Linked DNA regions of Callithrix jacchus. The protein of the gene in region 1 binds, or shares a complex with, the protein of each later gene. Links are inferred from orthologs where the notes say so. Each region holds a gene or a part of one and is shown on either strand. Other genes may lie near its edges.

Region 1 (5,857 bases):
GGAGGAGGACAGCAAGGCATGATAAGGAAAGAGTGTGAGAAAACGGTATTAGATAGGGAACAAGTGAGGGGTTTGGTGGGTTCGAGATAAGTCCATCAACCTCTACAACTGAGACCTGTGAGGGATGAGTTCGTCCTGAAAATTGAAGTAAAGCCGAGTAGGTGACCTTGATATTGATTGAAAAAGAGATTGGCTTACCTGCTACTGACAGAGTTACCCTGGGCTCTGATACAGTGATGGTAGATGGGGCCAGGAGACCTGGGTCCTGTCAGTCTTCAGCGGCTAAGCCAAGGAGCTGTGGGAGTGCAAGTGATTCTTCACCTTTTGTCTTGGTGAAGGGGTTATGGGTTGGAGGTACAGGCTTTTCTGTCTGCCTGTTGAGAGGACAATCAGACTTCCAGTGGCCTGTCTGCTGGCAGATGGGGCAAGGGCTTTTTGGCACCTGTGGATTGGGACATGCCTGCCCCCAATGGCTTTCCTTGCTGCACTTGAAACGTGCCCTCAGAGGTGTACTGCTATCAGCTCTTTTGTGCCCCTGGGTGCCATAGCCAGGCTGTTTAGGTTGGCAAATGGCTGCTGATAGAAGCTGGTATTTAGCACGATCTCTTTGGGCCTTGTTTATTTTACTTCGTTTATCCCTGTTATTGAAGACCTTGAAGGCCAGGTTAAGGAGGTCTTCTTGTGGGGTTTGAGGACCATCTGCAGCCTTTTTGAGTTTACGCCGGATGTCTGGAGCAGACTAGGAGATAAAATGAGTGTTAAGAACTATGATGGCTTCTTGAGGGTAGGATTAACAGGGGTGTATTTTTGGAGGGCCTCTGTAAGGTGGGAAAGAAACTGGGCAGGATTTTGTCTCCCTTTTGGGAAACTTGAGTTTTTCAAAATTCATAGCCTTATGGGCAGCTTTGTTAAGGCCTTCAATTAGGCAAGTAATTATGTGGTTATGGGACTCTTGGCCTGGATCTGTGGGCTGGTATTCCTAGGCTGGCTTTCCCCCGAATGGTGGCAGCTCCTACAGGCTTAGTAGGATTTTGCCAATGAAGATTGTCAACAGGTGCCTGGGCTGTGAGCCACACTCTTTCCTTCTTTTTTGGAAGGAGGGTAGAAGAGAGGATAATACAGAGATTATGCCAAGTGAGTTCATAAGACTGGATAAGATATTTAAATTCTTTGATGTACGTGTCTGGATTGAAGGAGAAGGACTCGAGACGCTTTTTGATTTGGGAGAGATCCGATAGAGAGAAGGGGACATGAACACGGACAATGCCTTCCATCCCTGCCACTTCTCAAAGAGGGAGTAAGGGAGCTGGCTGTGGGGGATGCCAGGTCCTGGAGCAAGTGTGGGCTAGAGATGGAGAGGAGTCAGAGTCGGAAGCAAGGTGATTGGAGAGAGGAGGGGACAAGAGGAGAGCTGGAGTTGAGGCGTAAGGCGGTCCAGGGTGTCCTGGTGGAGGCTCGGGGCATTGGCTGGGAGGAGGGAAGTCAGCTGGGTGGAAAGAAGATGCATCATCCCCCACACCGTGGGAGGGTTTGAGTCGGGTTTTGAGTGGGTGAGGGGAATTTGGAAAGTAGAGCAGGACTGACAGAGAGAGGGGTAGTTCCGGAGAGTAAAGAAACCCTGAACATAAGGAACCTCAGACCATTTACCAGACCGAAATTGTCAAGGTCCCGGAGAATATTGAAATCGAAAATACCATTCTCAGGCCACTGAGAACCATTGTCTAATTTATATTGGGGCCAGGCCATATTAGAATAAAAAGTTAATCTTCTTCGGCCTGACTTCAGACTGGAGACCAAGGGTGTCCAAATTTCGGAGGAGGCATCCTAGAGGGGTAGTCTTAGATGGAATGGACTGTCTGGACCCCATAGTGAAAGGCCGGAAGAGGAGGAGGCTGCCGAGGAGAAGGAAAACAGGAGAGAGCGTCCTCTGCCCTGTTTTCTCTACCTGAGGCAGTGAATTCGAAACAGTCGCTGTCGAATGAGGCGTCCCCAAGGTGACAGGACCGGTCCCTGGGGCTGGAAGGGTGTCCTCAGCCTAGCGCTGGAACTTTTGGACAGAAAACGGTCATGGAACCTGAACAGAGGCAAAACCTCTATTCAGCTTACCGCTGGGAGGTGCAGATGGAGATAACCGCAGTTGGCAATGGAGGTCTGGGGTTTCCCTCCTGGGTCTGGAAAGGGGTTCGGAACGGTGAGGCTGGGGTGGGGGGCGGAATGAGAGCAGCCAGCACCTACTCCCGTCCCAGGTTTCAGCACCAAAATGCAAGGTTGACCAAAAGGATGGAGAGGCAGACCTAGGGTCAGATTTAGCAAGTTCATTTCCACTCCCAGGCTGGCTGCCTCATCACAGGCAGTGAAGGCAGGAGTCTGGCTTACAGACTATTGGGATTATATAGGGGGGTTGCAGGTAGCGAGGTGTTATTCTAAGAAAAACCGCGTCTTGGTTCTCCAACATTCTGCTTAATTAGGTCAACATCCTGGGTTCAAGAGCTGGGTGTGACCACATCCTGGAACGTAGGTGCCCAGTTTACAAGGCTTGAGACTTGTTTTTGTGATGAGCTCGGCTTAGCAGGGGAGAACAGGGAGGGGATCTATGGGCTTGCCTTGCTGTGACCCTAACAAATAGGGCCATGATGTCTCTGGCAACTCTAGGGGAGAATACCTCCTTCCCTGTTCTAGCTTCTGGTGTTGCCTGCAATCTTTAGCATTTCCTGACTTACAGCTGCATAACTCCAGTCACACAGCATCTTTTCCTTATGCATTTTCCCTTTGTATTCCCTCTGTGCATGTCTGTCTTTGTCTTCAGATTTTCCCTTTTGTAAGTACACCAGTCATACCGCATTGGGACCCAACGTGATTTTTTTTTTTAATGAGAAATTCACATTTATCTGCCTTCAACTACTTATTCTATATGTGTTTAAATGTAGAAGTATTACATTTCTGCAACCAGGTAGTCCTAGGTTTAAAAGAATTTCTACTTGATGGAAAGTGCCTATGGAATCCTTAACTTGGTACAGGTATGCAGTTGTTTGAGGGAGTGGTACCTTTAATTTTCATAGCTTTGGAATGAAAATAAGAATTTGTCATTAGTTTTAAATTTCTTGAACACCAGTATTTATCCAGTTGATAACATTTACTCTTTTTCTTTATTCCATGTGTGGTGACTAATCTCTGCCTTAATACTTAGAATTTTAAACATTTCATTCGGGTGTTCTAGACACTCACTGAATAAACTTTACTAAAGTTGGAAAGTATATTTTTCACTAATCTAACAAAAATTAAATTTTAGCAGGCTCTAAGCAGAATAAATTCCCTGACAAAAGAAAAAGGAATTCTGTGGACTCAGATCTGAAAAGCACAAGAGAATCTATGACACCAAAAGCAAAAGAGTCCTTCCTTGAGAAGCGTCCTGATGGACCACATCAGAAAGAAAAATTTATAAGACATATTGCACTGAAGACACCTGGTGATGTGTTGCGCTTAGAAGACATATCCAAGGAACCGAATTATGAAACTGATCGCCCTTCTGCAGGCTTGGCACCTTCAAATTCTGGCCACCATTCTTCCAGGAATAGTGACCAAATCCGAGTGGCAAGTACCAAAGAGACTAAGATGCAGAAACCCCACTTACCTTTACCTCAGGAAAAATCTGCAGTTAAAAAAGCTAGCAACCTTCAGAAAAATAAAACCGCTAGCTCCGTAACATCAAAGGAGACAAAACTACCTTTACTTTCCCATGTTCCAAGTGCCGGTTCCTCTCGGGTACCATTAAATGCTAAAAATTGTACTCCTCCAGTTTCTAAAAGAGATAAAGAGCGTTCCTCATCTAAAGAATGTTCTGGGCATTCTGCAGAATCCACCAAACACAGGGAACACAAAGCAAAGACTAATAAGGCTGATTCTAATGTATCTTCAGGGAAATTTTCTGGGGGATCTTTGCGCTCAGAATATGGCACTCCTACAAAGTCTCCCCCAGCTGCTTTGGAAGTTGTGTCATGTATCCCAAGCCCTCCAGCACCTTCAGATAAAGCCCCTTCAGAAAAAGAGAGTTCAGGAAATTCTAATGCGGGTAGCAATGCACTGAAAAGAAAACTAAGGGGTGATTTTGATAGTGATGAAGAAAGTTTAGGTTACAACCTAGACAGTGATGAGGAAGAGGAAACATTAAAATCACTGGAAGAAATAATGGCTTTGAACTTCAGTCAGACTCCTGCAACTACAGGAAAGCCTCCTGCTCTTTCCAAGGGGCTTAGATCCCAGTCATCAGACTATACAGTAAGTAGTTCTGTGACGTTTATCTTTACTTGAAGAGGGGAAGATGATTAATTAGTGAAAGGGTGAATTATTGGAACTTACTTTAAAATTTAATGTTTATTGTAACCCATAATTGGACTGAAAATGGAGTATTTCTTGTTTGGTAAATGAGTTTCCATTATCTTTAGTTTTATTACTGCAAATCAGTGGTCTCCAAACTCTTTTGATCACACACGTCTGTGAGTAAACAATTTTTGAGCATGTACCCCAACATGTGTGTATACCTTTAGATTATATATATGTACCACTATAATACTGTGTACTTTCTAAAGCATATGCAAAAACAGAATTTAAAAGGAAGAAGAAGAAAAAAATAACTATTTTCCTATAGAGCTATGTAGAAGTTACTATAGACTAAGTTCTACTGGAGTTTCTATAGAAGTTCCATATAAATAGAAGTTCTATTATTTTCTTCCTGCACCCCAATGGATCACCTTGCACACCCCCTGCTTTGGAGACCACATCTGTAAATGAAGGTAGAGTGTAGAAATGTTGTTGATTGTGGTGTGCAATTTTATTTATAAAGTGCTTCATTCTATCTTGGGAATAAGCTGAATTCTAGGATGTCTGTAAAATTTGGTGGGGAAGGTGTTACTATTCCGTAGTAACACCTAAAAATGAGTAGTTTGATTCTACTAAAATCGAATTTGAAAGTAAAGACAGGGTAGCCACAGCATTCTTAAGTGTTTGCAGTCAGATCTCAAAGTTAGCAGGGTTTTATAAGTACTTTCCTAATAGGTGGTAAAATCTAATTGTTCTTTAGTGCAAAATAGTAGATTTAAAGCATGGTGATGAAAATTATCCTTTAAGAAAGGTGTTATCCTGGCCCAGATTATTGAAATAGAAAATAGTCTTTACTACCCTTAATTACTGAAAACATCCCAGTTCTACTGAGACATGTTGTAAAGTATTTCTAAATTTTCTTCTTGTTTTAGGAACCTGCTCATCCTGGAACTTACACAAATACCTTAGAGCGTCTAGTGAAGGAGATGGAAGACACACAAAGGTTTGTTAGCATAAAGATTAATTTTCTAAATTTAACATTCTGCTTCTGTGGCTTACTTTTAATTTACCTTTTTGAAAAAATCATGAGAAATTAGCATGCATTTTAGGCTAGTATCATTTTGATAGTTCTGTTGTCAACTATGTTAGGGCAAGATATGTTGGCCGGACACAGGGGCTCACACCTATAATCACAACACTTGGGAGGCCCAGGCAGGAAGATTACTTGAGCCCAGGAGTTCAAGGCTGCAGTGAGTCGTGATGGTGCCACTTCACTCCAGCCTGGGTGGCAGAGCGAGACTCAATCTCAAATGAAAAAAAAAGAGGCCAGGTGTGTTGGATTACTAAAGTAATCCAGTACTTTAGGAGGCCAAGGCAGGAGTTTGAGACCAGCCTGGGCAACAAGGTGAAACTCCATCTCTACAAAAAATACAAAAATTGGCCAGGCATGGTGCCACACACCTGTGATCCCAGCAACCCCACAGGCTGAGGTGGGAGGATCACCTGATCCCAAGGAAATCAAGGCTGCAGTGAGCTGTGA
Region 2 (5,857 bases), on another chromosome or scaffold:
TGCCTCCCAGGCTGGAGTGCAGTGGTGCGATCTCGGCTCACTGCAACTTCTGCCTCCGAGGCTCAAACAATCTTCCTGCCTTGGTCTCCCAAGTAGCTAGGACACAGGCGTGTGCCACCACATTCGGCTAATTTTTAAATTTTTTATAAAGGGGGTTTCACCATGATGCCCAGGCTGGTCTCAAACTCCTGGGTTCCAGCAACCCACCTACCATGGCCTCCCAAAATGCTGGGATTACAGGCGTGAGCCACTGCACCCAGCAATGAACACTTAATTTATTCTCAACTAGTTCTTACAACAATCTTAGGAAATACGTATCATTTTTATTCCTATTTTATAAATAAAGAAACTGAGATTTGGAGGGTAAGCATTTGTCATACAACAAATGGCAGAAGCTGGTTTCAAACACAGGTGGCATAAACCTCAGAGCCATTCTTTCAACCCGTACTCCCCATAAACAACAAAAATAGTAAGTGTATATGTTAAAAACCCAATTATTAAACTATATAAAATGCCTATGTATAAAAAGGCAACTGAAAAGGAAATACATCAAGTTATTCATAATAATAAATACTGTCTGGGCCGGGCATGTTGGCTCACACCTGTAATCCCAGGCTGCCTCCCAGGCACAAGCCCAGCACTTTGGGAGTCTGAGGTGGGCAGATCACCTGAGATCAGGAGTTCAGGACCAGCCTGGCCAATATGGCGAAATCCTGTCTCTACTAAAAATACAAAACAAAAAATTAGCTGGGTGTAGTGGCAGACACCTGTAATCCCAGCTACTCAGGAGGCTGAGGCAGGAAAATTGCTTGAACCTGGGAGGTGGAAATTGCAGTGAGCCGAGATTACACCACTGCACTCCAGCCTGGGCAACAGAGTGAGACTCTGTTTCAAAAGAAAAGAATGAGCTAGTGGTCAGGCAGAGGCATTCAGAAGGAGGACATAACACATATTAGAATACATAATAATTTTAAAAAAGAAAAAAATCATTCTCTAAGCTCAAATCAGTGTGAACACTTGGATCCTTCCTACTTGGATCACTGCTTCAATGAGGCGAGTTTTGACTTTGACAGTGAACTGTTTCAATCTGGTTTTCTTAATATGAGGGATGGGATGTATACCACTAAAAAAACAGTTCATACTGTGGAACTTAGCCACAATTATTTTCCCTCACATATCTAATTTATTTCTCACAAATCAATGACGACCAATGGAAAGTAGCATACCCACTAATGTCTAAAACTGAATTTCCTCCCCCAGAGTCAGAGTAGTAATTTTGGAGGCCCTTAAGTGATAGAGTATTATTATCTCTGTGGTATGGAAGCTGTAATAGGGGCATCAGGAAGGGAAAGACATAAGAGTTGAAGATATTTATTTTTTTTTTTGAGACAGAGTCCTGCTCTGTGGCCCAGGCTGGAGTGTAGTGGTGCAGTCTCAGCTCACTGCAACCTCTGCCTCCGGGATTCTAGTGATTCTCCTGCCTCAGCCTCCTGAGTAGCTGGGATTACAGGTGCATGCCACCATGCCCAGCTAGAAGGTAAGAATTTACATATAAGATGAGCCCAACACCCTGGTACTTTACATATATGACCCTGTGAGGTATGTTATTATCTCCACTTTACAGATAGAAAAGCTAAGGCTCAAAAAGGTCAAGTCCCAGTTTTTAAGTGTGGGGCTAAAATTTGAACCCAGATCTGAGCTTCTACACTGAATGGGTCTTCACAAGTGGAAGAAAGATAAAAATTTTCATTTATGCTTGACCTGTCCTCTCATGCATGTACTCCAGTCACACTGACTTTCTCCCAGGCTTAGGAAAAGGACATCTAATCCCTAGGGGAAGATGTTAACTCACCTCTCTTGTGTCTTTATCTGGTATTAGTGTCTGGAAGAAGAGATGATGAACTGGAGGTCGTAAGAAGTACTTCAGTCTATGCAGGCATGGTCTGTTGTACAACCCACCTTGTGGTGTTCGTGCTTGTACATGGGAAAACCCAGGTTTGGAAGGCTCTGACAGTGATATTTCTTTTCTGGCTGGGGTTTCCATGACAGAGAGCCAAGGAACTTTCTCTAAGGAAGTTTCAGACTGTGGGGACTGTGGGCTGGGAGAGCAGCTTGGAGAGGATGGAGCTGAGATATCCATAGGCATGTCCTGGTTCTGTATATCATTCTGGGTAGAGTCAGGCCTGTCTCCTGGAAAGTGAGGCATGTCTTGAGGTGAGTGTGGCACCTCCCCTGATGAGTGTGGCATGTCTCCAGGTGAATATAATACATCTCCTGTAAAGTGTGGCATGCCCCCTGGTGACTGGGGTGCATCTGGTGATGGTGGAGCATCACCTGGTGACTGTGGCACATCTCCTGGTGACTGTGGTACATCTGGTGATTGTGGCATATCTCCTGGTGTCCGTGGCACATCTCCTGGTGACTGTGGCATGTCTTGCAGGTATGTCACATCTTGTGGATGTAATATCCTTTGAGGTGGGCCTGGTACAACTTGAGGAGGTAAGCCCAGAGAGTCTTGAGGTGGGCTTGGTGAGTGCTGAGGATGCCATAATGAGTCTTGAGGTGGGCTTGGCATACTTTGCTGAGGGCATGACACTTCTTGAGGTGGGTGAGTTAGAGCTGGCACTTGGCACTGCATGGTTTGTAATGGGCATGACAAAGCTCGTGGTGGGCAAGAGGAGGCTCGTGGTGGACATGGTGAGGTTCTCAGTGGACACGGCAAGGCTTGTGGTGGGCGAGGCACATCTTGCTGTGGGCATAGCAAAGGTGCCCTTTGGCTGCTGCTGCTGCTACTATTATTGCTTGTTGGGGAGAGGGAGCTAACATCTGAAGACAGCTGTAGGCCTGTCAAGAAGCTGAGGTTACCAGTGAATGTAGCTGAGCTACAATTAGGCTCCGTTGGATAAACAGAGCCTCCACTGATGAATGTAGGGGGTAGGGGACCTACAAAGTTTTCTTCCACTAGGTCCAAACATACAGGATGACTGTTAATGATTCTTTGTGCCGTAGGCTGCGAGCTTCTGTCCACCTGCCCTTCCAACACCTTTTTGCCGGAGAGGCTGGCACATGTCTGAAGACTGGTTGGCTCCTTCTGGGAAGGAGTGACAGGTTCTAAAGTTAAGTCAAGAGTGGCAATAGGTCTATTTTCTTCCTCAGCTCTTGTCAGGTCAATCACACAAAGTCCACTGTGATCTTTTGGCCTTGGTCTGGTCTCTCTAGTTAAGTCAATGAAGTCCTGCAGAAGGATTGTGAGAACAGAAGAGGCCAAGATGGGAGTATTAGCTTTATCTGAGATGACTTAAGTCTTAGCTTTTAAGGATAAGCATTACTTTACCTTTTCACCTCACCGATAAGTTACACATCTTGTATAACATAAACAATAGTTTATTTCCTTCGGTGAACATTTTGGTATTGCCAAAGCTATCAATTTCTTTCTTTTTTTTTTTTTTAGATGCAGTTTCGCTCTCATTGTCCAGGCTGGAGTGCAATGGCGTGATCTCAGATCACTGCAACCTCCACCTTCTGGCTTCAAGTGATTCTCCTGCCTCAGCCTCCCAAGTAGCTGGGATTACAGGCATGTACCACCAGGCCCAGCTAATTTTGTATTTAGGGATTTCTCCATGTTGCTCATGCTGGTCTTGAACTCCTGACCTCAGGTAATCCACTCTCCTTGGACTCCCAAAGTGCTGGTATTACAGGCATTAGCCACCGCGCCCGGCCCAAAGCTGTCAATTTCTATACCTTCTTAAATTCTCCAAATGCCACAGGCAGATGACTAGCATCATAATGGGATTTTTTTTCTGGTCCAAGGTGGACAGGGGAGTAGTAGGAGATATTCCAACCTTAAGTCACAAAGCAAAAAGCAACCTTTGTTTGCTAAGTCAGATACACAGGATAACCTACAACAAAAGCTAAGTAAGAAGTGTGGCAAATGTAAGAGAATCTGTGAACTAAGAACAAGTTCAGTATTTTCATGTATCTTTAATTTTCACAATGACCTGATAAAGTAGGCGTTATCAATCCATCATACGGATGGGGAAACTAGAGTTTAGAGGGGTTAGATTATAATCTTAAGATTATACAGCTAAGTAGCAGAGACAGACATTCGAACACAGATCTGTGTCCTTTTTTCCCTGTGAAGGCCTAGGAATGCACAACTTGATTCAATATATAATCAGTAACATTTTTAAAATCCCTGATCAATCTAGCTAGATATTTATCAACTTTATTGATCTTTTTCATCTGTTTTCTATTTCGCTTATTTCTGACTTCTTTATTATTTCCTTCTTTCTACTTTGGATTTAATTTGCTCTTCTTCTAGCTCCTTAAATGGAAGCTTAGGTTTAGACCTTTTTCTTTTCTAACATTAACATTTAAAACAAAAAATTTTACTGTAATGACTACTTTGGTTTCATCCCACAATTTTAAAAAGCATGTGATTTTTCTGCAGGACATCAATATGTAGTCATTTTATTATCATGTAGTTCAAATTTACTTTTATTATGGTCAGAAAATATACCCTGAAAGATTTTAATCTTTTGAAATACACTGACACTTAAGTCCTAACACACAGCCTACCTTGGTGAATCTTCCTTGTGTACTTAGGGAGAAAAAGTGTATTCTGTATTTGTTAGTTACAGTTCTATAAATATCAATCAGGTCATGGTAGTTAATAGTCTTTTTCAGATCTTTGATTTCTTTACTTTGGTGGGGGAGTATACAGTTACATTACCAATTACTTAGTGAGAAGTATCCAACTATGGCTGTAGCTTTGACTATTTTCTCTCTTAGTTCAGTTGTTTGCGTCATGGATTTTGCAACTATATTTATTAGGTGCATATACATATATAATTCTTATAACTTCCTAACATATTAACTCTTTTATCATTATAGATAGCACATACTTGGTTCTTGCTTTTTTTTGGGTCTAGTCAGACAATCTCTGCCTTTTGTTTACAATTTTGGTCCATTGGGCCGGGCATGGTGGCTCACGCCTGTAATCCTAGCACTTTGGGAGGCCGAGGCGGGTAGATCACGAGGTCAAGAGATCGAGACCGTCCTGGTCAACATGGTGAAACCCCGTCTCTACTAAAAATACAAAAAATTAGCTGGGCATGGTGGCGCGTGCCTGTAATCCCAGCTACTCAGGAGGCTGAGGCAGGAGAATTGCCTGAACCCAGGAGGTGGAGGTTGCAGTGAGCCAAGATCGCGCCATTGTACTCCAACTTGGGTAACAAGAGCGAAACTCCGTCTCAAAAAAAAAAAAAATTAGCTTGGCATAGTGGTGCACGCCTCTAGTCTCAGCTACTTGGAAGGCTGAGGCAAGAGGATTGCTTGAACTTGGGTGGTTGAACTTCGGCTTGAACTTCGGCTGCAGCGAGCTGAAGATTACACCACTTCACTCAAGCCTGGGGGACAAAGTGAAAAAAAAAAAGAAGAGAAAATTTATTGAATTACCTAAGGTAAAACTATAGAAACCTTACAAAATATTCCATTTACCTGTGCCTTATCCTGTATTTTTGTTGTCCTGTGTTATTATCTGCACATATCATAAACATATCAATATAGTAGTACTGTATTTGTTTACAGTCACTTGTCCTTTAAAGATATTAGGAAATAACAAAAAATCATTATTTTTGCTTTATACACAGATTTATAATTTCTTGTGCTCTTCACTCATTGTGTAGATCCAAATACCCATTTAGGTGTCATTTCCCTTCAGCCAAAATGTCTTATAGTGCAGGTCTACTAGTGAAAAATTCTCTCATCTCTGTTTATCCAAAAATGTCTTTATTTTCCCCTTATTTTTAAAGAGTAATTTTGCCAGATGTAGAATTCTTGGCTGAAAGTCTTCTTT

The links. The genes of interacting proteins can lie anywhere in the genome.
Region 2: the proteins of SLF2 (region 1) and SIMC1 are in contact, whole or in part, in a cryo-EM structure (PDB 7T5P), measured with the Homo sapiens proteins. The link is inferred for Callithrix jacchus from reciprocal best matches to the Homo sapiens genes SLF2 and SIMC1. Residues at the interface, in NP_060591.3 of Homo sapiens: His738, Val772, Leu775, Lys778, Asp783, Phe786, Gln790, Gly791, Phe792, Thr794, Ser795, Ala796, Tyr797, His798, Tyr799, Cys820, Ile821, Gln825, Ser828, Met831, Glu832, Ile835, Arg836, Asp838, Thr839, Ser841, Asp842, Ser843, Pro847, Lys919; in NP_001295125.1 of Homo sapiens: Tyr426, Arg428, Leu431, Lys435, Leu438, Pro440, Val442, His443, His444, Leu445, Phe447, Gln448, Arg470, Arg471, Phe490, Asp493, Pro497, Val521, Asp522, Lys525, Glu526, Tyr528, Met529, Met532, Lys533, Gln536, Leu537, Arg571, Asn658, Gln661.

What each region holds. Positions count from the first base shown.
Region 1 is NC_133513.1:93,841,075-93,846,931, forward strand, and holds part of SLF2 (SMC5-SMC6 complex localization factor protein 2), read left to right. Parts: intron 1-3,289; coding exon 3,290-4,275; exon of another isoform or gene 4,276-4,784; coding exon of another isoform or gene 4,785-4,790; intron 4,791-5,249; coding exon 5,250-5,320; intron 5,321-5,857. UniProt on the Homo sapiens protein: Plays a role in the DNA damage response (DDR) pathway by regulating postreplication repair of UV-damaged DNA and genomic stability maintenance.
Region 2 is NC_133503.1:70,919,670-70,925,526, forward strand, and holds part of SIMC1 (SUMO-interacting motif-containing protein 1), read right to left. Parts: intron 3,236-5,857; coding exon 1,853-3,235; intron 1-1,852.